Linked DNA regions of Caenorhabditis elegans. The protein of the gene in region 2 purifies or fractionates together with the protein of the main gene of each other region. This does not show direct contact. Each region holds a gene or a part of one and is shown on either strand. Other genes may lie near its edges.

Region 1 (7,511 bases), on a different chromosome or scaffold from region 2:
CGAAATGGAGTTAGCTTGAAGGCTGGAGGAGTATTGAGTGCTACACAGCAAATCATCAAGACAGTGATCGATGATGTCGCTCGAACAGGTATTTTTGAACATAAAACAATTTCCAACGTTTTTTGTTCAAATTTCGTTGTTCAGATGCTTCGGGTTCAATTTGCTCAAAGTTCGATCGTCATCTCCGATGTATTCGTTGTCGGGGACTCCAGCAGCAAGAATCTGTCACGGATCATCTTCTCAAACTAAACTATGCTCCAGTTTATCAAGCATCGCTTTGCCAACTTATTGAAAAGTCATTGCATATCGGAGATGATTCTGGAGAAATTGAGTGTGAAGACTGCAAGCAGATGGTTTGTCCATTTTTTTAAAAATTAAATAAACAATTCAAATTTCAGAGCCGAATGGAGTGTAAGAGAAAAGTTCGGGAGCTCTCCCCCGTTCTTCTAATTGACACAAACGCTTCATCGAATGGATTTGTTGAGTTTTGGCGTCGGCAATTATCTCTCTTTGAACGAAAACCAGGAGGCAATCGAAGTTCTGCATTAGGAACGGTGCCAGAGTCACCTTCTGAGAAGAAAAATTGCAGATTTGGAACGGATTGTCGCAACAAGTAATTCAATTTGTAATTCTGTTCATATTAAAATATCTTGATAATTTAGGAAAACATGCAAGTTTGTTCATGGACTCGTCGATTGGCCTGCAGAACAGACAAAACTTCTTGAAGACGTGGATTTACCAGAGTGGGCACACTACATTCCATCCAGAATCGCTGCTCAACTTTGCGAGGGGATTGTTCGTTTGTCTGATGTTTCGGATCTCCCAGACTATGATGAGCCGTCTGCTGTGATTTATGAGCTTGATGCGATGATTCATGCTGTTGGTAATGGAGAAAACGATGTAAATTGGACTCATCCAGTTACATTGTTGAGAGAAAGTCCCGTTATTTCATCGTCCTGGACTTTAATCAATGAGCAGCTAGTGAGCCGATTGCATGATCATGAAGCAAGGCACATAGACGGAAGATGGAAACTTCCCGCGCTTTTGGCTTATAAAAAGAAGAACTTCGATGTGAAAACGAGTGAGGATATTATTTCCAATGATTTGTTCCTCGCGGAAGAAAATTTGGCGAGCAACGGGATGACGTCATTGGCCGTTCAATCATTGGAAGAGCTGCCGAAAGAGAAGGAATTAGTCGGTTTGGATGCAGAGTTTATAAAGATTAAGGTAAGTAACTAAGTTTCGAATACCCTATATTTAAAAATCCGGAATTTAGTAAAAAAAAATTCAATTTACAGACCGATCTACTTGAATTCGACGGAAAAACCGTGCAGATGAGAGCAGTTGGTCGAGCCTCCTGTGTCGACTCGACAGGCGAAAGGATCATATTCGACGATCACGTGAAGCTCACTGATGACGTAGAAGTTGTCGACTATCTCACGAAGTTTAGGTATGCTTCACTTATTTCGAATTCAATCTTTATTCACTTTTTTTCAGTGGAATCGTGAAAGCTGATCTGTGTCCAACGACTTCCGAGAAATACTTGACAACCCACAAGCGGCTTCTTCTACGAATGCATGTTTTGATTCAACGAGGAGTCACATTTGTAGGACACGCTCTGCATAATGATTTCACAGTGCTCAATGTGCATGTAAGATTGTTTTTGCAAAGTTCTAGCTAAAAAGCTAATTTTCAGGTGGCAGAATCACAGATAATCGACACAGTGACTCTGATGCGTCTTGGCACCCAGAGAATGTTATCATTGCAGTTTCTGGTTAAGGAGATTCTTGGTGAGGCCTTTCCTTTAACTTCGCTTGTCTAGCTCGGTTCAGATTTTAAATATAAATTTTTCAGGCGAAACTATACAAATGGAAGCTCACGACTCGGTGGTTGATGCGAGATATGCACTGAAGCTGTACCGAAAATATCTGGAAATCAAAGAGCAAGGACTTCTGGGTTCAGAAATGCGTCGAATCTACACTATTCTCCCGTGTCCATCGCCAAACCAAACATCGTCACCTCTGGTTGTATCTACTACACGAAAAACTCCAGAAGATACGAATCCAGCAGATGCTGCACCGAAGTCGGTTTAAATTGAAGGCCTTCCAGATAAGCTTACTGTAAAAGTTCGTAGAAAACCAGAAAATTATCACTTTCAGCATAATAATTATTATATATTTACTTACGTACCAGATTATCTCAAGTTCACTTAAGCTATCACTTTGTATATCAATTCCCCATTTTGCGAGTCAATTCATGTATTTTAAATACTCGTGTAATCTCAATATTCGTCCCAATATTATTTCTTGAAACATTCCCCTGTTTTTCTCAAAATATCATGTACCATTTATTTTTGTTTCTGTAAATAATACAATTTTGCAATTTATTAGCATTTTTAATTCTATATTCTTCTCTAAAAAATACAACTTCAAAAGCGGTGTTCTTGAAGTTATTCAAACCTCGGAAAATGATAGCCTACCTTTCTATGGGCTATTATTTCAAATTGAAATTTTCAATTGACATTTTGATTTGAAATAACTCGGAAATGAAAATGATCATTAAAGAATCAAATACATATTCTTTAAATTATAATTCGAGAACTAATTCACAAGTGATTAAGAATATAACAGGATACATTGTGATTAATTTGATTCATTTTAACTTGTAATTTTTTGTTGAAGTAATTCCGTTGGTAAGAAAAAATTTTATGGTCTAATTCATAAATAAATACGACGTATTTCTCAAGGAAAATATTTTTAATTTTTATCTACACGAACTTTAACTATAGAAGTGAATGGAATTATGGTGAAAGCCTCTTGAGAAGCCACACATCAACATCTCTTTCGAATACTATTCTATCGTGAAGACGATCCGATTGTCCTTGCCAGAATTCAAAATATCGAGGAATCAAATGATATCCACCCCAGGATTCTGGTTTCGTGATTGCTTGAGCTCCTTCCCGTACAGATAACTCTGTCAGTGCAACTTTTTTGGATTCTAAGAATTCTCTATCGGGAACCACTTTTGATTGATCACTTGATTTTGATCCGATTCGACTTGCTACTGGTCTAGAATTCCAATAAGCGACGGCCATCTCATCTGGAAGCTTCTCAACAACACCTTCAACTCGAATCTGAAATTAAATAATCTCGATTTCAAATTTTCAGCAGTTGAAAATTATACCTGACGATTGACTTTAGGCCAATAAAAGAGCATCGCGGCATTCGGATTCTCTTCCAATTGATTTCCTTTGCGGCTAGTATAATTTGTGTAAAACGAGAAGCCAGTTGGTGTGTACGCTTTCAGAAGAACCATTCTGGATGATGGACGAAGATCTCTGAATTAATACTTTCTAGGTTTTTTTCTCCATTTTGAATGTAATATGCTCACTTTCCGACGGTGGATAAGGATACTGCATTGATTTCTTCGAATGTTAAGTCAGATTGTGAAGCGACGTTACGAAACCAGATATCAAAAAGTTCGAATGGTGACGTGGTTGGTAACTTTGATTCGAGTAGATATGGATCATGAGAGTTTAGATATTTTGCCCGAATGTCTGAAAAATCAAGAATTATTGGTAAAAAATTATTATAAACTCACTTTGAATATCAATAGATGGTGTCTCCATAACGTATGATCTACGTGCCAAGTGACGATATTCGTGAACTGAATATGACCGAATGACCGTAGGAAATAGAAACAGATGATAAGAGAAATACATATATCGTGTGAGATGAAAAGACACCAGACGGTTAGAGTGTGAGATGATACAATCATTTAATTTATCAATTACCTAGTGATAAAAAAGATGACAGACGACGAGGAACGACAAACATTTCGAGGGATCAAGTGAGATTTCTCTGAAACGAATGTATTGGATCTTGGGGATAAGTCGTGGCGAGACCCAGAACATGTGCCAAATAACTAGTTGTTTTTTAGTTGAAAATGAGAGTCAGCTGCTCAGAAATATATGAAAGAAATCTACATTGAAGTTTTGACATCCTCGAAGCTGCTTCAAAAAATTATTTTAATTGACACAACTTTTCGTCCTAATGAGAGAAACGAGTTCACGAGAAGACACTAATAATATTGGAAAAGGTACGTTTTTTATTGAAAAACTGAACTTTACCTCTTGAAAGTGAAAAAGAGTTAATTCAATATTATTTATTTGCACTTGGTGTTTTAAAGTCAATTTTGTATTCCAAAAAAGAATAAGTTTTTGATCAACCTGTTTTTCATGCATGCCTGCATTGATTTTTTTTTGGATCTCCACACAGCATTTTAAAATTCACCACTTTTCCCCCAAGAGGACTCTCAAAAATTCACGTGCTAACCGCTCTTTTACATACGAGCCCGCTATTTGCTCATAGTCAGCTCCCCGATGCTGGTGTTCGAAAACAACTCTTTATTTTCAGGGCTCCCCGTTTTCAGTTAAACTGGCGGCTTGACCTTATTGGTCTTTATCAGTGCAATTTAACCACAACGAAGAACATATTGTTACGAGAAAGTAAATTTTTAATAAACTCGAATTTTTTTAATCAACCCGAAAAAAATAAGCTTTATTTGTATTTTAAACAACATTTTGTTGAATTTTCTGTTCTGTGCATTTTCGCGTCACCTTCAAGTCCGCAAACACCATTTGTGTACCGTACCACACCGGGAAAAATACGCTGGCGGGAATTGTCATCGTCATTGTCTTACTCTCTGTTTCTTACCAGTTTTCTAATGTTTTATCCGTTTATATTTTGATAATTGATCAATTAAATGATAATTATCATATTTTAAAATGATATAATCAGTTGGTGTGTTTTCCGCAAGCACTTATTGATTTCTGAGGCTCCGACAATTTCCATTCCGTTATTTCATTTTTAATGGGGTTATTCAAGTAGTGTCGGAAAATTAAAAAGTGTAGAAAAGTTACGTCACAGCTGTATTCAAGTAAACAAAAACATGTATTTAAATACATTTGTGACGTCACAAATGTATTTTAATACATTTTGCTACATTACTTGAATAACCCCATAAAATTCAATACTTTTTACTGCAATTAAAATCTTAATTTCAGCACCTGAAATGTCTGGAGGAACCATTATGGATACAATGACTTCACTTCCACATCAAAACGACCAAAACGTCATTCGTCACCTCACCAATCTCGGTGAGTCCTTTTCCATATTTCAGAATTTTCCAATTTGTCCCAAATTGAAGTAAAATCACCAGCATCTGGGGACGATGATATCAAGAAGAAAGAAGATTCGATCATGGAATTGGGAAATATTTTGGCTCAAAATAAGCAAACTGAAGAGCTCCGAAATATGATTGAACAAACGAGGCCATTTTTGGTGTCATTGGGAAAGGCAAAGGCTGCAAAACTTGTCAGAGATCTTGTTGATCTATGTCTTAAAATTGATGATCAAGATGGAGATATTAAGGTGAGCAGAATAATAAGCTTCAAATATAAACCCAACTATTTTCAGGTTGGACTCGTTAAAGAATGTATTCAATGGGCCACCGAGCAAAATCGCACTTTCCTCCGTCAAACACTCACTGCTCGTCTTGTTCGCCTCTATAATGATCTTCAAAGATACACTCAGGCTCTTCCACTTGGTAATATATTTCGCTGTAATATTTGAAAATAACTGATAATCTACTTTTCAGCTGCCGATTTGATTCGTGAACTGAAAAAAGTCGACGATAAGGACGTTCTCGTGGAAGTCGAACTTGAGGAAAGCAAAGCGTACTATAATCTTTCCAATATTGGTCGTGCTCGTGCTTCTCTCACTGGTGCTCGTACAACTGCCAACGCAATCTATGTGAATCCTCGCATGCAAGCAGCTCTCGATCTTCAATCGGGAATTCTTCACGCTGCCGACGAGAAGGACTTCAAGACAGCTTTCTCATACTTTTACGAAGCATTTGAGGGATACGATTCGGTTGATGAAAAAGTGTCCGCCCTCACCGCTCTTAAGTATATGCTTCTGTGCAAGGTAATACTCAAAAATAATTACTATTATATTTAAATCCTATATTAAATTTTTCAGGTGATGCTTGACCTTCCAGATGAGGTGAACAGTCTTCTGTCCGCAAAACTTGCTCTTAAATACAATGGTTCTGATTTGGATGCGATGAAGGCGATCGCCGCAGCTGCACAAAAGAGATCTCTTAAGGATTTCCAAGTTGCATTCGGTTCTTTCCCACAGGAACTTCAAATGGATCCAGTTGTCCGAAAACATTTCCATTCTTTGAGTGAACGAATGCTTGAAAAAGATCTGTGCCGTATTATTGAGCCATACTCATTCGTTCAAATTGAACATGTTGCTCAACAGATTGGAATTGATAGATCAAAGGTAAGAACCAAAAATATTGTTTTTTAAATATAAATGCAAAAAAGTTGTTAATTTTTACACAAACTTATAAAACTTTCAGGTCGAAAAGAAGTTGTCCCAAATGATTCTCGATCAAAAACTTTCGGGATCTCTTGATCAAGGCGAGGGAATGCTTATTGTATTTGAAATTGCTGTTCCCGATGAGGCGTACCAAACTGCTCTGGATACAATTCATGCAATGGGAGAGGTTGTCGATGCACTCTATAGTAATGCTTCGAAAATTAACTGATGATTTCTTCGAATCTTCATTTTTTGTTCTGCCTTGTTTTTGTACAATATCTCGACTTTTCCCATTTTCTAAATTTTCTTCGATTTTCCCTCACGGTTCAGTCCTCCGTTCTCCTTTTGAAAATTTATTATGTTTTTTTATAATTGACGACTCCCTCTTTTTTAACCTAGACCTTTCACTTTTCTCCTCCTCTGGAAGCATCAAACTATCCATTCTGCATTATTTTGTAAACGTTTAAATATCCCCCGAACCCGACGTTGTTCAATAAATTTAAGTTGCACAATTGTTTCAGTATATAGAAAGTCTTTGCAAAACCGTTAAAAGAGTTCCTATTTATGTGGCGCGAAATATCTTCTAGCGACTTTCTACCGTACTAATTATTTTTCAGTTCAATTATACGGTAGAAAGTCGCTATGAGATATTACGCGCTACAAATGTAGAAATTATATCTTTCTGATGATTACGTAATATCCAAATCTGTGATGTTAATAAAAATTTGGAAATTCAGTATATCAAATGACGCGTTCTTTATTGCGAATTGGTAAAAGGGGAATGAAAGAGAAACCTCTACAAATCGTAATGATATCAGATAACAAGGACGCAAAATTGAAAAAAGGTTATGGGAACGATAAATAGACAAAGACATCTAGCGCGATTTTAAATGTTTTCACACAATTTAAAAAGATTTCTATACACGGAGGAATACGTCGAAAATGGCGCAATCGATCTATCGGATGTACAAGTCTTTAAAATAACGAAAAAGCGGGCAGAAAACGTCGAATTTACAGAAAAAGACCACCACCCTTTCTGAAAATTCAACCATCATTAACTTCAAGCCGTTTTTTCGTTATTCTAATCTAAAAATTGCATGAAAAGGGTAATTTTGGGGACGAGGA
Region 2 (7,511 bases):
AAATATTGCGAAGTACCGGGGAGTGGGTTGCTGTACTACTTAAAGGCGCATGTCCTTTTTGCGTCAGCTTTCTTCAAGTCCAAGTTCAAGTTACCACGTGGTGTCAGGCTGTCACATTACGGTTTGATCTACAAAAAATGCGGGAATTTTTTGCCCAAAAAGTGAAGTGAGCACGTTCTTAACCATGCAAAAAAAGTTGAGAACTCTGCGTCTCTTCTCCCGCATTTTTGTAGATCAACGTAGATCAATCCAAAATGAGTTACGCTTTACATCACATTAGACGCACAAATTTATCCGGGGAGCCAATTTCAAGCTGTATTTTATTGAAAATCGAACAATTTCACAATTCCAACCAGTAGTGTTCCTTTCCTTTTCCGGATAAGTTTGAAATTGTAAATTTTTTTCGAGAAAAACTTTCCTTTTTGCGCGTATAATATTACGGAAGCACAAAATTCTGAGAATGCGTATTGCACAACATATTTGACGCGCAAAATATCTCGTAGTGAAAACTACGGTAATTCTTTAAAGGACTACTGTACCGGTTGTGTCGATTTAAGGGCTTACCTTTTGAAACGAATTTCCGTTCAAAATGTGGAAGATGTTTTCTACAGTTTTTCTATTAATATTTCATCGATTAAAATATGATTTCCGTAAATCGACACAAGCGCTACAGTAGTCATTTAAAGAATTACTGTAGTTTTCGCTACGAGATATTTTGCGCGTCAAATATGTTGTGCAATACCCATTCTCAGAACTTAGTGTTCCCGTAATATTTGCAGATTGACGCCCAAATTTATCCTAGGAACAGCTCCCAGCCGATTTAAAACTAAATGTTTGCTTTAAAAATCCAATTTTCATCTTTTTTCCAGTTATCTATTCTGCTACATTCCTCCAAATAACGAGCATCCGCCGAGCTGTGTGAGCAAAGTTCGTCGAAACGGAGTTTGCAGAGGATTCGAGGATTATCCTATTTGTTACTGGGGTCAATGTGTTGATGGGCGGTGTGATGAGACGGTGAAGGCGCCGAAAAGGCTGGAGAAATTCAAGAAGTTTGAGAAGAAAATTGTTCCTTTCATTATGTAAAGTATAATTTTCATTTCTCATATATAATTTTGGGTATAGCTTTCAAAGTTCAGGTTTTCTTTTTCTTTTTCGAAATCCATGTTTTGTCCCCATGTCCCAGTATTCTAGTCAATTCTTTTTTCCTAAAATAAATATACAATTTTTCGCAATATATAAACATGTTATTACACAAACATAGACTGGGTTAAGAATGGAATGAGTAATTTCAAAATTATTTTCCAACCGGGGAAGGGGTGCGATTACATTGATACATAAGAAATGGAATCTAAAACGAAGCAATCAAGAAAAAAAGAATCAATAATTTGATTTATTAAAGCTTTCCAGTGCATTTCGAGAGCTTTTCCTTGGTCCTTTCGATGTCGATTCCCTGAAAATTTCCAAATTAAAAAATATAGAAATATTCGCTACTGGCACCTCACTTTTCGCGAATTAGTTGCTTGATAAGTTGTTGGTCACGTTCCCGGCCTTCCCGCTCGGATTGTAGTTCTGCTTCAAGTTGTGTAATCCTTTTCTTCATCTCATCATACTCCTCGTCCTTCTGCAGTTGCAGCTCTTTCGCTTTATTTCGACTTTTCCGGACGGCATCATTGTTTCGAGCCCGTTTCAATTTATAGATGGGCTCCACTTTCTCCTTATCCGGCTTTAGATTGTATTTTCGAGCCTTGGTTTTTGGCACGAAATTTGGTACCGCTGCAGCAGTCTTTTTGGAACTTTTTGGTTTGTAATAAGAATCATCGACACTTTCATCGTTATCCGAAAGCGATGTTTCTCCTTCTTCCTGATAATCGTCGTAACACGAAGGTCGTTTAATAGCTCGGCGAGTTGTCATAGTTTTCGAAGTTTTCATCGTTTCCGGCTTCTTCTCCTCCTCGGTCTTCACCTCGAAATTCATTTTATATCCGTCTTGTTCCTCGTATTCACCGGGATTTCGAAAACCGGGGCCATAAGCCACGTGCCGTTCGTATGGATTTAGTTGCGGCTGCTCGTAAGAGTCATCATCGTAGAGAATATTTGCTTTTTGAAGTTCAGCATCATTTAAGTCGACATTATCCGCAGGAACATCCAAATCGGTAAAGCATTGTAGATAATTATCCAGATCCAGCTGGGTTTCCATAAAATCCACAGGATTTCGTTCCCGATCACGTTGTTGGAGGGATGCGGCGAGAGCAAGTGAGTCCTGAAATTTTTCGTTTTAAAATTTTTTTGAAGAAAATTTGGCACGGTGCAATTTTCTTCAAAGAAAAATATTTTTTAATTTAAAATTTTTTAATTTCTTGAGATGGCAGAATTTCAAATTTGTGAACCTAGTCCGCGGCCATGACCGCGACGCAACTGCACAGCGGAGCGGCTCGAATAAAATATTTATTTTATTCCGTTTTTTCGCCCAGTGATTTTTCAACGTTTTAGCTGATTCTTTTTGCTTAAAATGAGCGAAAAATTAAAAATAACTTTTTTAATTGAGCTGAGTCGCAGCCTCAACTTTTTCAGTAAATTCTGTCATCATAATGTTTTGTTTAGCATTTTTTTCAGGGGATGATTTCGGAGCATTGTTATAATATTTTCTTCGAGAAAAATGTTTCGCAGATCTCCATTTCCGTGAAACTTCCAAAAATCTCACTTGTCTTGTGAACATTCCAGCGGCCGCCGACGTCGACGCTCCATTATCCGGCATATCCGTTAACTCGTGAAATCGAGGCGGATTTCCCATCGATTTATTTCCTCGGGAGTAGTTGTAGTTGTACATTCTGGAAAAAAATCAATTTAATTGGTTTTCTTCGAAATCTTCAAAAAATCGATATTTACACTGACTATTTAAATTTTGAATCTTCGTTGCGAATTTATACTTTTAACTAAAAATCTATGGAAATACGTTCCAGAAAATCAAAAATGCGGGTAAAAGCGGGTCAAAAGTGAGTGGCATGACCTTATGAATCACTCGGCTTTGCGAAAATGTTCGAGAAAACCGATTTGCGTCAACATGGGCAGTGCTGACGCGTTTCGCACCGAATTTTCGGGTTTTCGCAATACTTTCTTCTAAATGGGGATTTTCCGGTTGGAAATTCTGAATTTTTGAGGAGAAAATCGAGAAAATAATTGCAGAAAAGTTATGGGAACTGATTTTCTGATAAAATGAGCAAAATCGACCGGTGAACTGGCAAAAAAGAGCAATTAACGAAGAGATTTATTTTTAAAGATAAAAAAAAGCTTTTAACAAGCAAAAATTCTAGAATTATATGAAAAAAGTTGAATTTTTAATAAGTTAAAATCGAAATGTCACGTGAAATATATTAATTATCGATTTTTTAAATTGTAAGGTTTTCGCTTCGAAGAAAAATCAATTCTAGCTATGTTAAAGCATAATTCAACGAGAAGAATGTGCAAAATACAGAAATATATGGCGAAAATTCTCTTTTCGCCATAAAAAAGTTTGCAAGCAAGGAAATTGCCGGTATTTTTTCATATTTTGAAGGAAAAAATTACATTTTTAAGATCCAATTTCGAAGAAGTCAATTGTTCTGCAACATTCCACGAGAAAAACATCCGGTTTCGAAGTTTTTCACAGATTTATCAATTAATCACACGAAAATCTGCAGATTAATCTGCGAGAATATTTGTGTGGAACGACTTGTCCGAGAGGAGTACACAGGCGTTGATTTCAAACTCCCGCGCGCGGGTCTCGCAACGATTGTTTTCTTTGGCTGTCTGCCAGCGATATTTTCTCCTCTTTTTTTGGCTAAACTGGTCCTATTTTCGAATAATTTCAGCCAAATTTCCAAGTTTTTATCTAAATTTTTGAAGGAAAGTGTATAAAATGATAATTTAAATGTAGTTTTGTCAAAAATATCCCTGAAATGTTGAAAAATCAGTCTAAAAACTTTATTTTCAGAGTGTAATTTAAAAATATCGATTTTACGTCTTTAATCTTATCTTATGATGTCCTTATTCTCTTAACCGGTTCATTACTTTATTTGCTATTTTACAGGTAAGAAGATGCTGGTCCTTTTCGAGGTCGCAGCCGGTTATGCAGTATTCAAGCTCAGCAATGAGAAGAAGCTGAAGAATGTGGATAACATCTGGGAGGAGTTCAGCACTGCCGAGAAGGCTCAAGAAAAGTATATATTAGAAATTAAATTCATTTTTTAAAACTGTTTTTCTTACAGCTTGCAACTGGTTTCTTTCAAGAAGTTCAAGACTACCGCTGGAGCCGTCGAGGCTACTTCCGAGATCACAGAGGGAAAGCTCAGCAAGACGTTAAAGAAGCTTTTGAAGTCGAGCGTCGACGAGACCGAAAAATTGGCTGTCGGTGATGCCAAGCTCGGAAACTTGATCAAGGAGAAGCTCTCTTTGAATTGCGTCCATGACAGTTCCATCAACGAGCTGATGAGAGGAGTTCGCGCTCATATCGAAGACTTGCTCGCCGAGCACAAGGAAGAGATGAATGCCATGAATCTCGCCGTGGCTCACTCGCTCGCTCGTTACAAGGTCAAATTCAACCCAGAAAAGATCGACACCATGATCGTGCAGGCTGTTTCTTTGCTCGATGATCTTGACAAGGAGTTGAACAACTATGTTATGCGTGTCAGAGAATGGTACGGATGGCATTTCCCAGAGCTCGGAAAGACTATCCAAGATCATCAAGCTTATGCTAAGGTAGGCTCACAGTGGTGAATTATCCGTATTAAATTATTTAATTTTCAGATTATCAAGGCCATTGGCATGCGACAGAACTGCATCAACACCGATTTGTCATCGATTCTTCCAGAGGAGTTGGAGGAGAAGGTCAAAGAGGATGCTGAGATTTCAATGGGAACTGACATTTCTGATATTGATCTCATTCACATCAAGGGTCTTTGTGACCAGGTCATCGAGCTCTCTGCCTACCGGTTAGTGAATTTATACAATTTCTTATTCAAAACAAATTATTTTTTAAATTTTTTCAGTGCTCAACTCTTCGACTACCTCAAAAATCGCATGACTGCTCTCGCTCCAAATCTCACAGTTCTTCTCGGAGAGCTCGTCGGAGCCCGTCTCATTTCTCACGCTGGATCTCTCGTTTCGTTGGCCAAGGCACCAGCCTCGACGATTCAAATTCTTGGAGCCGAGAAGGCTCTTTTCCGTGCTCTCAAGACGAAGAAGGATACTCCAAAGTACGGATTGATCTACCACGCTCAACTTATCACACAAGCCCCACCAAAGGTCAAGGGAAAGGTTAGTTAAATACTTTATTGATTTTTCTGTTAAACTTAAAAATCGGCAAGGACCTTAAAAATTTTTTTTTTTTAATTCCAGATGGCTCGTAAGCTCGCTGCCAAGTGCTCTCTTGCCACTCGTATCGACGCACTTTCCGACGAATCCGCCACCAACGAGATCGGAATCGAATGCCGTGCCGCCCTTGAGAACGTGCTCAGAACCGAATCAGAACGTGGGCCATCCAAAAATAAGAGCTTTGGATCCCACCGACACGACAAGTACGAGTTCAAGAGTGAAACATACGAATACGACGCGTCTGCTGACACTCCAGCCAGTCGCAAGCACAAGAGATTCGATGATAACGAGGAAAGCACGAACGCAATCAAGAAGATGAAGATCGAAGAGGTTAAGGAGGAAGATGAAGCAGAGCCAGAGAAGAAAAAGAAGAAGAAGGAAAAGAAAGCAAAGAAGGCCGATACTGATTCTGATGAAGAATAGATGCAATTGGGGTGCCGACGAGAGTGATAATCCGTTTCTTTTGTTGTAATTCGTGTTTCTGTACCACGAAGACTGTATGTTCTTGTTGATTTGACTCGTTATTTCTTGCTAGTATCAGGTTTATCAGATTTTCCCCATTGTTAACACATTCTATCTGAAATCTCTTCAAACACAAAAACTGTCTCCTCCTCAAATTAATTTTTATCGTAATCACTTGTTTTTTCTTTTTACAATTCTTTGCCCTTGTTGTTTTCCTTATTTGTTATGTTGTCCTTTCCAAAAAAAAATGTTGAGATAAAAATTGGTTTCAAAAAGCTTTTATTTTCAGGGATTATCTTATCGAGAAAAGCATGAGAAAATCAAAAATTGAAACTGTTTAATTGCCGTACCCTTTGTTTAAAGGCGCAGAGGTTAAGCGTGGTAAGACCCATATCATGATATATATATACCCATATCTATGAGGGATGCGCCTTTAAGTGGATACGGTAGTTTTTTTAAAAGTTGATTTTGTTTGTTTTTTTATTAAATTTAATTACATAACTATAAGTTTTTTCAAACGATTCTGAAACAAAATTTAAGTCAAACAAAAGGAAAAAATAAATATTTAATTAAAAAAACCTTTATTCACTGGAATCGACTCATAAACCCGTAACAACAAATGGGTTGAAAATATTAAGAAATCTTCAAAAATCACAAAAAACACTAAACTAAACGACTTTTTGAGTATCTGGAAAGTTATTCTGATGATTATTATGATGCTCATTACACATAAATCATTGAAGAAGTCTTCTGAGCAAGTGAAGCCTCTGAGCGGCCTGCAAGAAATCAGAAGAACCATTCAATTCGTCGACAATATCATCCGATGGAGGCATTAAACCGGGCGGCCCGGCCCCATGGAGAGAGAATTCGTGTGGAGGCGCAGGTGGTGATGGTGGTGATGGACCAGAAGTCGTCGGAAGTGGTGATGGTGGACTTGGTGATGCGGATATTGTAGATGTTGGCGTGGATAGGGCTGGAAATCATCGATTTTTTTTCAATCTGGGTCTTGCCACGAACTTTGAATTTCATAGAAATCGTGGTGAGAGTTAAAAAATTGTGTTTTTTTTTTCGAAAATTACCGTTAAAATTTCAGCAATATTCATTTTTCATTCTCCCGAATGTTTTACTGATATAAAACAGTTAAAATTAAATACTTTACCGTGGCCTAGGTTTTCTAGTAAGAAACCTCGACCACACTCCAAACGGAAGCATGTAAAATTAAAGGAGAATGGCTGGCCGAATTTTCACTAATTTTTTTACGCGGCCTTCTAGTTAGAAAACCTAAATCGTTTGGTGGCCTAACTTGCGAATTTCTAGGCCACTTGACCTACCTGAAATAACATTCTCCTCTATCTGATGCAACTGATGGTTCTCCGTTTCGATTTTTGCGTTAATATCTTCAAATTCCTCGTCTGGCAGAGCAATTGTGACGTCAGTGACGAGCTCCGTCGTCGTTTCTTCGGTTACTGTAGGCTCTTCAGATGTTGTTGTGGTTGTTTCTGCTGTCGTTGTAGTTATTGGAATCGCTGAAACATCAAGGAGTGCTGATTTTTGAAATCTGATAAACAAATCGATTACTTTCAGTGGAAGTTGGCTCAGTGATAAGCTCCAAAGTTGTGCTGGGTACTGTAGTTGTAGGTGGACGTCTGTGGCCGTGCCGACGACTTGCAAATGCAGGGAACAGTGATGTTGACTCTGAT
Region 3 (7,011 bases), on a different chromosome or scaffold from region 2:
CTTTGGATCTTGAACGAGACCTTTCACGTTTACGATCACGAGATTTGGAACGTCTTCTGCGATCTCTGCTTCTCGACCGTTTCCTATCACGATCCTTGTTGTCACGACTGCGACTGCGGCGTTTACGATCTCTGCTACGGCTTCTCTTCCTGTCACGATCACGGTCACGATCACGACTTCTAGATCTTCGGTCGCGACTTCGCCTTCTGTCACGATCTCTGTCACGGTCACGATCACGACTATCCCGTCTGCGACGCGGTGACGGCGAACGACGACGACGTGGTGATCGCGAACGGCGCCGATCCCGATCATCTCCGTTTCTACCCATCCGAATCGCTTCCTCGATTTCTCCAAGAGCTTGTTCGTCTGTTTTGGCTTGTGGTTTGATGATGGCAACGCGAGAGTGTTGAATTCTGAAGAAAAATATTTTAATTATTGGATTTAAAAGTTTTAAAATTTAGTTGACTTATTTTAAAGGTAGAATCGCGTGGACGGGGTTTTTAATTTTTAAAAAAATTAAAAATTAAAAAACAGACAACCATAAAAGAAAAACGGCGGAAAATTAGCCAAAATTGTGTCAAAATATTTTTTTTTGTTTTTCTTTTATGGTTTTTTTTTCTGAATTTGAGAAAATCACCATTAACCTTTAAAAAAATTAAAACTTTAAACTCACTTCAATGGTCTCTCCTTAAACTCGAATCCATCGTTTTGAAGTGCATTGCACACTGACGCTTGCTGTGAGAATTCAACATAAGCATATGCACACGGCAATGCATCCGGTCCCGAGGCCATTCTGGCGTACATTACCTGAAACGTGAAAATATATTTAATTTTGTTAAATACAAATGTTGTATTTTTTTCAAATTTCTAATTCATTTCTAAATTGTCGGTTGCAAACTTTCTACTCGTTTTGAAATTATGTGCACAATAATCGAGAGAAACTTAGAAACTATTCGGTCACCGAAGGAAGTTTCTACAAAAACCGTAATCTGCAGAATATGTTTCGATAACGATACGGTAATTTTTCTTTTCAATTTCTAATTTAGCAATATATTTCTAGAGTTCCGACAGTCTGATCAAGCCATGCTCTTGTAGCGGAACAGTCGCCTACGTTCACAATGGATGCTTGGAGCAATGGGTCCGTACAACATCAAACATTCAATGTACCATATGTCAGGATATGTTTGAGTTGATTCCGGCAGGATTGAAAGATTGGAACAAAATTACTCTGCCGAGACCACTTTCGGAACAGCTCGAAGACTATATGGAATTCGGATGTACTCTTGCGTGGGTGGTGTATATGCTGAGATTCGCATATGTCGGACTTCGTTATGGAAGCCGTTCGATGATCGAGAATGTCGATATGGCTATTGGAACAGGAATGATGCGCAGCTTTTGGTGGATGACATTTTGGTTCAATTTTCTTTACTATGGAGCAATGTGCTTTGTTTTCTTCGAGAAATGGCTTATTGATAATACAATTTTTAAGTTCAAGGATAGGTAATTTTCTATGTTTCTGATAACTTGATTTCTAACTGATATTTTCTAGATCTGGAAGCCCGTCAAGCCAAATTTCAATTGCAAGTCGATCTAGCAAGAGAGGAATGAAAATGCCAATAAATGCACATTGATAGAAATAAATCTTTCAAAAATATCGTTTTTAACCTACCTCTCCAAAATACATGTTGAACAGTTCGAGAACCTCGTTTCCATCAACACCTTTCGGAAGATTTCCAACGTAGACTGTTCTTCGAATTTCTTCGACTTTGGCAGAATCCGTGTCAGCCGGTAGAGGTGGATAAGCCGGTAGTCCGAGCTGCTCCAGTGTCGGATCGACTGTAATCAACTGAAAAATGGAATAATTAGACGGCGCGAAAACTAGAAATATTGCAATTTCTAAAATATCAGGAATTTGAAAATTTCTAAATTTAATTGCTTTCATATCCGACGATGCGCAGCATAGATTGGCGAGGATACACTGAAACTGAAAATTTAATCATTCGGCGAGTACTAACAAAGTTTTTTGATGATTTTCTGGATTACGCTTTCGGGATTTTACTGCATTCGTCATTTGGGTAGTGGCCAGTAGAACTGTAAAATGAACAAGTAACGTCCGTTACCACCAGACGCTAGTTGGAAAACTAGTGGGAAAATAAACTTACCAAAGCAGATCCATCGTCAGATTCTTGAATTTTATTGGTGACGTGAGGTGGGAGCTGTCGCTGACCAGCCGTTGTAGATCCACCACTGTTGAAAAAACTCTCCTCGTCCGGAATCACAGCTGAAAAAATGAAACTTTATGAAAAAATGCAGCTTTCAAAAAACTCACGATTCGGATATGGTAGGCAGACTATCGCGCAATCGATGACGACTGTGTTGGTGAGATGCTGAGCTACTTCGACACATCGCTCGTCGTCGAACTTGATAAAAGCAGTTTTCAGGAGAGTATTAGCTGTGATATTACCTTCTGATGGATAGACCTGAAAGAATAAATTTTTAATTGAAATTTTTAATCGAAAAATGTGTAAATTTGGAATAATAAACCAACCTTCAAATCCTGAATTTTTCCGAGATAGTTGAACATGTTGTAGATGTGATCCCTGGTAGCCGATGTCGAAATGTTGGCGACATGGAGAATTTTTACTTTTTCTTTCTCCTCCCCCGACATTCCTGAAAATAAAATAATCAATTTTCGTCTTGAAAAATAGAAAAACAAAATGTAGTTCAATAAATTTAAACCGGCGACGTAATTTCAAAATTAACATGTAAAAATCTATCGAAAAGGCATAAACTATTAGAAAAAGTTAGATTTTTATCGAAATTTCGTTTAAAATCGATAAAAATCAGATAAAACATGTAAAATTCAGGTTAAATCGAAAATAAATGCAGCCAAATTCGAATAAAAAAGAATCACTGCATGTTTGGCAGCGTGCCAACATCTTGTCGCTGCGAGACCCGTCCACTGTCTGCGTCTCTTTTTGGGCCCTTTTCGAAAATTACAAGTAGTTTTTTTCTCTTTTCTTTTGTTTCTCCCGTTGCCCGTTGTATTTTTCTTCGGAAATTAAATAAGTTGGTACAATAAATTAAAAATAAATGGAATTTTGATTATCTATTACTTTCAGATATGTTACTAGTGCAAATCATCGTAAAAATTTGAATTTACAGCTTTGAAATCGTTTTTATTATTTTTTCTCTTGAATCGATAAATAATTCTTTCGCATTGTAGCAATTTTCAACCATCTTTATTTCAGAAAAGAAGAAAAATGGCCGATGATGGAGTCAATCCGAAGGCCTTCCCACTGGCCGATACCAACTTGTCTCAAAAGCTCATGGATCTCGTCCAGCAAGCGATGAACTACAAACAGCTCAAGAAGGGAGCCAACGAGGCCACCAAGACTCTCAACAGAGGAATCTCTGAGGTAAGTGTATCGTAACCATGTTGAATTGCATTCCCATTTTCAAAATCAATTTTCGAACCAAATTAATTGAATTGTTTCAGATCATCGTCATGGCCGCCGATGCCGAGCCACTGGAGATTCTCCTCCATCTTCCACTTCTCTGCGAAGACAAGAACGTTCCATACGTCTTTGTTCGCAGCAAGGCTGCCCTCGGACGCGCTTGTGGAGTCACTCGTCCAGTGATCGCTGCTTCAATCACTCAAAACGAAGGATCTCAGCTCAAATCTCAAATTCAGAAGATCAAGGAGGACGTTGAGAAGCTTCTCATCTAAATCCTTCTTTTATCAATTTGTTGTTACGTTACCTCATTGTTGTTATATGATAATCCATTCATTGTTTTGTTGTCCCAAATTGCAAATACATCGTTTTTGAAAAAGAATGAACGTTTCTGCGAAACATGGACATCTGATTGTTATCAAATTGCATAATCGGCTACACTGTTCTAAAGTGTATCTTGGACACACAAGTACTTCATTGGCGTATGATGATGCGAGTAAATAAACCTCCCGGAACCGGTTGCATTCTAATTCGACCCCCGTTTGCCCTAGAATGTGTCTCTTCCTAACCATTGGCTTGCTAATTCCACCCCAAACGCCGTCACAACCCGATAGGGCCGCCAAAAAAAAGGCAATCGCTGATAACTACAGGGAGTCGCTTCCTCCGGGAGAAAAGACGGTTTCTGGCAAGGCAAGCACCGCCCATCTCCGTGTGCTCTGTCTCTCCATTCCCGCCGCTCCGTGTTCCCACCAACATGCAACAGTTTTCTCTACTCTTCAAACTATTTCTAGCCACAGTTTTATTATCTGTAACTTATCGCTTTGTATGTGATCGGTTATATTCAAATCACAAATCCGATGTTAGTGGATTTGTCGATGAACGTTTCGAGAAAGTTCGAGAGGTTTTTAAGTAAGTTCGACCTTCCTGCTCTCTTTTTTTCTCATTTTTCTACCCGTGTGAAGTGACAAATGTGTTTGACTGAACTGAAATTAATATTTACTTTGCCGGCATGCGTACAGGCAAATAATCTTTTTCTATCGTCATCTTTATTTTATTTTAAAAAAAAGAAAAGGAAAATGTCTTGCAAAAATCCTGGAACTTGTATTTTTACAGAAAGAATTTCGAAAATGGATGGGAAATCGAAGGATCAGCATTCGCTGTATTTGTTGATGGAAAGAAAGTCGTCGATTTATGGGGTGGATATGCTGATAAGCAGGCGGCAAGGAAGTGGGCTGAGGTAGATTTTTGAAAACAAAAAAAATAAAATCAAGCATTTTTCAATTTCAAACTTTTTTACTATAAATCTTGGGTTTTTTGCACCAAAAATACGGTTCCCCAGGTTTTTTTTCGATTAAAAAATAATTTTCCTCGAGATTTGGTTTTTTTTCCAATAAGTAAATTTGTTTTTATCGAAAAACTACGAAAAATCGATAAGAAAAATTCCGCTGCAATATAAGTTCAAAATTACAGTACTGTTTAAAGGTGCACACAAAAATACGGTTCCATAGGTTTAACCACGACACATTTATAATAAATGCGAAAAGACGTGCGCCTTTAAAGAATACTGTAACTTTTAACATCTGTTGTTGCGGAGTTTTTATCGATTTATCGTAGTTTTCTCATTATTTTCGTAAGCTTTTTTTGTTTCCATAATGTATTAAGTAATTAAAAAAATCATGAAACTTGTCGTGTCGAGACAGTATTTTTGACTCAAAATTTCGCACCTGAATTTCCAAACTTTAACCCAATCTAATACTTTGCCCTTATTTGGAATAATTTATCGTCGGTTTCCCTCATAGCTTCGACATATATTTTTCCACTGTCGTCAGATTGATATGAACTGATAATAATATCAATTTGATACGGGGAGTTTTTCGGTTCAAAACGGTTTTTGAAGTCTATAAAATTGAATGGAATGGCACAAAAACAGAGAAAACATTTTTGAAAAAAGTTGTGACATATCAGCAAAACACAAAAATTTTTAAAAAAATTGATTGTTTCAGGACACAATAACAGTGACGTTCTCGACTACAAAAGCTGCCGCGTCATTAGCAGTTGCACTGCTCTACGAGCAAGGAAAATTGAGATATGATGACCCAGTATCCAAGTATTGGCCAGGATTTGGAACTCATGGAAGAGATAATGTTACTATAAATATGGCACTTTCTCATATGTCTGGAATGGCATGGTTTGACACTCCAATCACTGAAGAAATCGCCGCGGATCATGAAAAAATGCGGCAAATTATTGAAGAAGAAGAGCCAAAATGGGCTCCTGGAACAAAGACTGGTTATCATGCATACACTTTTGGATGGCTAGTTGATCAAATTGTTAGACATACGGATGATCAAAAACGTGGAATTGGACAGTTTTTTAGAGAAGAAATTGCAACGAAATTGGGTAAGTAGTTTTCTATAACCTAGGTGCAAAAATGTGGCGGTTTTTTTTTTCGATTTTTATTAATCGAAAAACTAAAAAGTCCAGATTTCTCTCTTTTTTTCTACTCGAAAAATGGAAATTTTCGATTTTTCGTCTTTTTTAACCGAAAAACGAAGATATTCGATTTCTACTTTTTTTTAATTGAAAAACTATAAATAAGTAGTTCCCTATTACACATTCGTGCCGAAAAACTGAAAATTAGCAATTTTGTTTTAATAAAAAATTGCGTTCGCCTTTAAAGAGTACTGTAATTTCAAACTTTTGTGGCTGCGGAATTTTCATGAATTTTTCACAGTTTTCTCAGGATTAGTGAAATAAAAATTTTTTCTTCGATCTCTAGCTTTTGTAATCGAAAAACGAGAAATTTTTGAGATTTTACTTTTTTATATTGAAAATCTTAAAGTTTTTGTTTTTCCGTTTTTTTTTTAATTGAAAAACTAAAAAATTTCAGATTACCCTCGTTTTTCTACTGGAAAACCGGAAATTTTGAATTTTCAAAAAGCGACAAGCGCTCTCAACTTATCTTTGAATAATAATTTTTTTTTCAAAACTAAAAAATAATTCAAAACCTCCTATTTCCAGATGTGGACTATCACATTGGCCTCCCAGTCTCAGAACAACATCGTGTCGCCCGTATCAGTACACCAAATATGCTCAATCGTCTTGATGAGATGTGGACGGATGTCCGTGTTGTCAAGTACATGAAATCATTGTTCAAATTGATGACGGTATGGTTTTTTTGTCAATGAAATGAATGAAATTATCAGAGTGTTCCGGTACTTAACCGGGAGTCCACAACAATCAAGTGAAATTGCAAATAGTTTCAGTTTTTGTGTGTTTCCGATTGTTCTAGTACCGGTATACTGCAGCACCGCTTATCATGTACCAATCATATGATTTGGGAATTGAAGACACGAAACATGGAAATATATTCTATAGAATGAACTTTTGTTGTTTATTTAAATAGAAAATAGTTTCAAATGCGGAAAAGTAATTATAAAAAATATACAGGAACACTATTTATATCTGACGCACAAAATATCTCGTAGCGAAAACTACAGTAACTTTTTGAATTACTACTGTAGTTGATTTATTTCTTCATAAATTATTGGTAAAT

Evidence for each region.
Region 1: the proteins of nol-58 (region 2) and rpn-6.1 fractionate together in Caenorhabditis elegans (co-fractionation; one large-scale study listed by BioGRID). This does not show direct contact.
Region 3: the proteins of nol-58 (region 2) and snu-13 fractionate together in Caenorhabditis elegans (co-fractionation; one large-scale study listed by BioGRID). This does not show direct contact.

The regions. Positions count from the first base shown.
Region 1 is NC_003281.10:6,958,495-6,966,005, reverse strand, and holds rpn-6.1 (putative 26S proteasome regulatory subunit rpn-6.1), read left to right. Parts: upstream 1-4,004; 5' UTR 4,005-4,052; coding exon 4,053-4,098; intron 4,099-5,065; coding exon 5,066-5,158; intron 5,159-5,208; coding exon 5,209-5,432; intron 5,433-5,477; coding exon 5,478-5,607; intron 5,608-5,658; coding exon 5,659-5,987; intron 5,988-6,041; coding exon 6,042-6,347; intron 6,348-6,426; coding exon 6,427-6,615; 3' UTR 6,616-6,896; downstream 6,897-7,511. Other genes in the region: PolyA-specific ribonuclease subunit panl-2, read left to right, coding at 1-88, 145-353, 399-613, 663-1,227, 1,299-1,450, 1,498-1,651, 1,697-1,790, 1,855-2,093; F57B9.1 (Putative pyridoxamine 5'-phosphate oxidase), read right to left, coding at 2,801-3,133, 3,184-3,337, 3,391-3,556, 3,601-3,628. UniProt on the Caenorhabditis elegans protein: Component of the lid subcomplex of the 26S proteasome, a multiprotein complex involved in the ATP-dependent degradation of ubiquitinated proteins. In the complex, rpn-6.1 is required for proteasome assembly.
Region 2 is NC_003279.8:3,263,028-3,270,538, forward strand, and holds nol-58 (Nop domain-containing protein), read left to right. Parts: upstream 1-4,066; 5' UTR 4,067-4,074; coding exon 4,075-4,196; intron 4,197-4,244; coding exon 4,245-4,734; intron 4,735-4,782; coding exon 4,783-4,967; intron 4,968-5,024; coding exon 5,025-5,292; intron 5,293-5,373; coding exon 5,374-5,772; 3' UTR 5,773-6,085; downstream 6,086-7,511. Other genes in the region: tyr-5 (Tyrosinase copper-binding domain-containing protein), read left to right, coding at 870-1,083; Transcription factor zip-4, read right to left, coding at 1,378-1,450, 1,503-2,260, 2,702-2,827; pqn-72 (Prion-like-(Q/N-rich)-domain-bearing protein), read right to left, coding at 6,546-6,784, 7,143-7,337, 7,390-7,506.
Region 3 is NC_003280.10:10,654,867-10,661,877, reverse strand, and holds snu-13 (Small nuclear ribonucleoprotein associated homolog 13), read left to right. Parts: upstream 1-3,251; 5' UTR 3,252-3,263; coding exon 3,264-3,419; intron 3,420-3,499; coding exon 3,500-3,730; 3' UTR 3,731-3,851; downstream 3,852-7,011. Other genes in the region: marc-2 (RING-CH-type domain-containing protein), read left to right, coding at 919-1,017, 1,061-1,500, 1,550-1,631; rsp-7 (putative splicing factor, arginine/serine-rich 7), read right to left, coding at 1-413, 674-807, 1,670-1,846, 2,163-2,281, 2,330-2,480, 2,549-2,668; lact-3 (Beta-lactamase-related domain-containing protein), read left to right, coding at 4,210-4,364, 4,569-4,692, 5,459-5,855, 6,477-6,622. UniProt on the Caenorhabditis elegans protein: Binds to the 5'-stem-loop of U4 snRNA and may play a role in the late stage of spliceosome assembly. The protein undergoes a conformational change upon RNA-binding.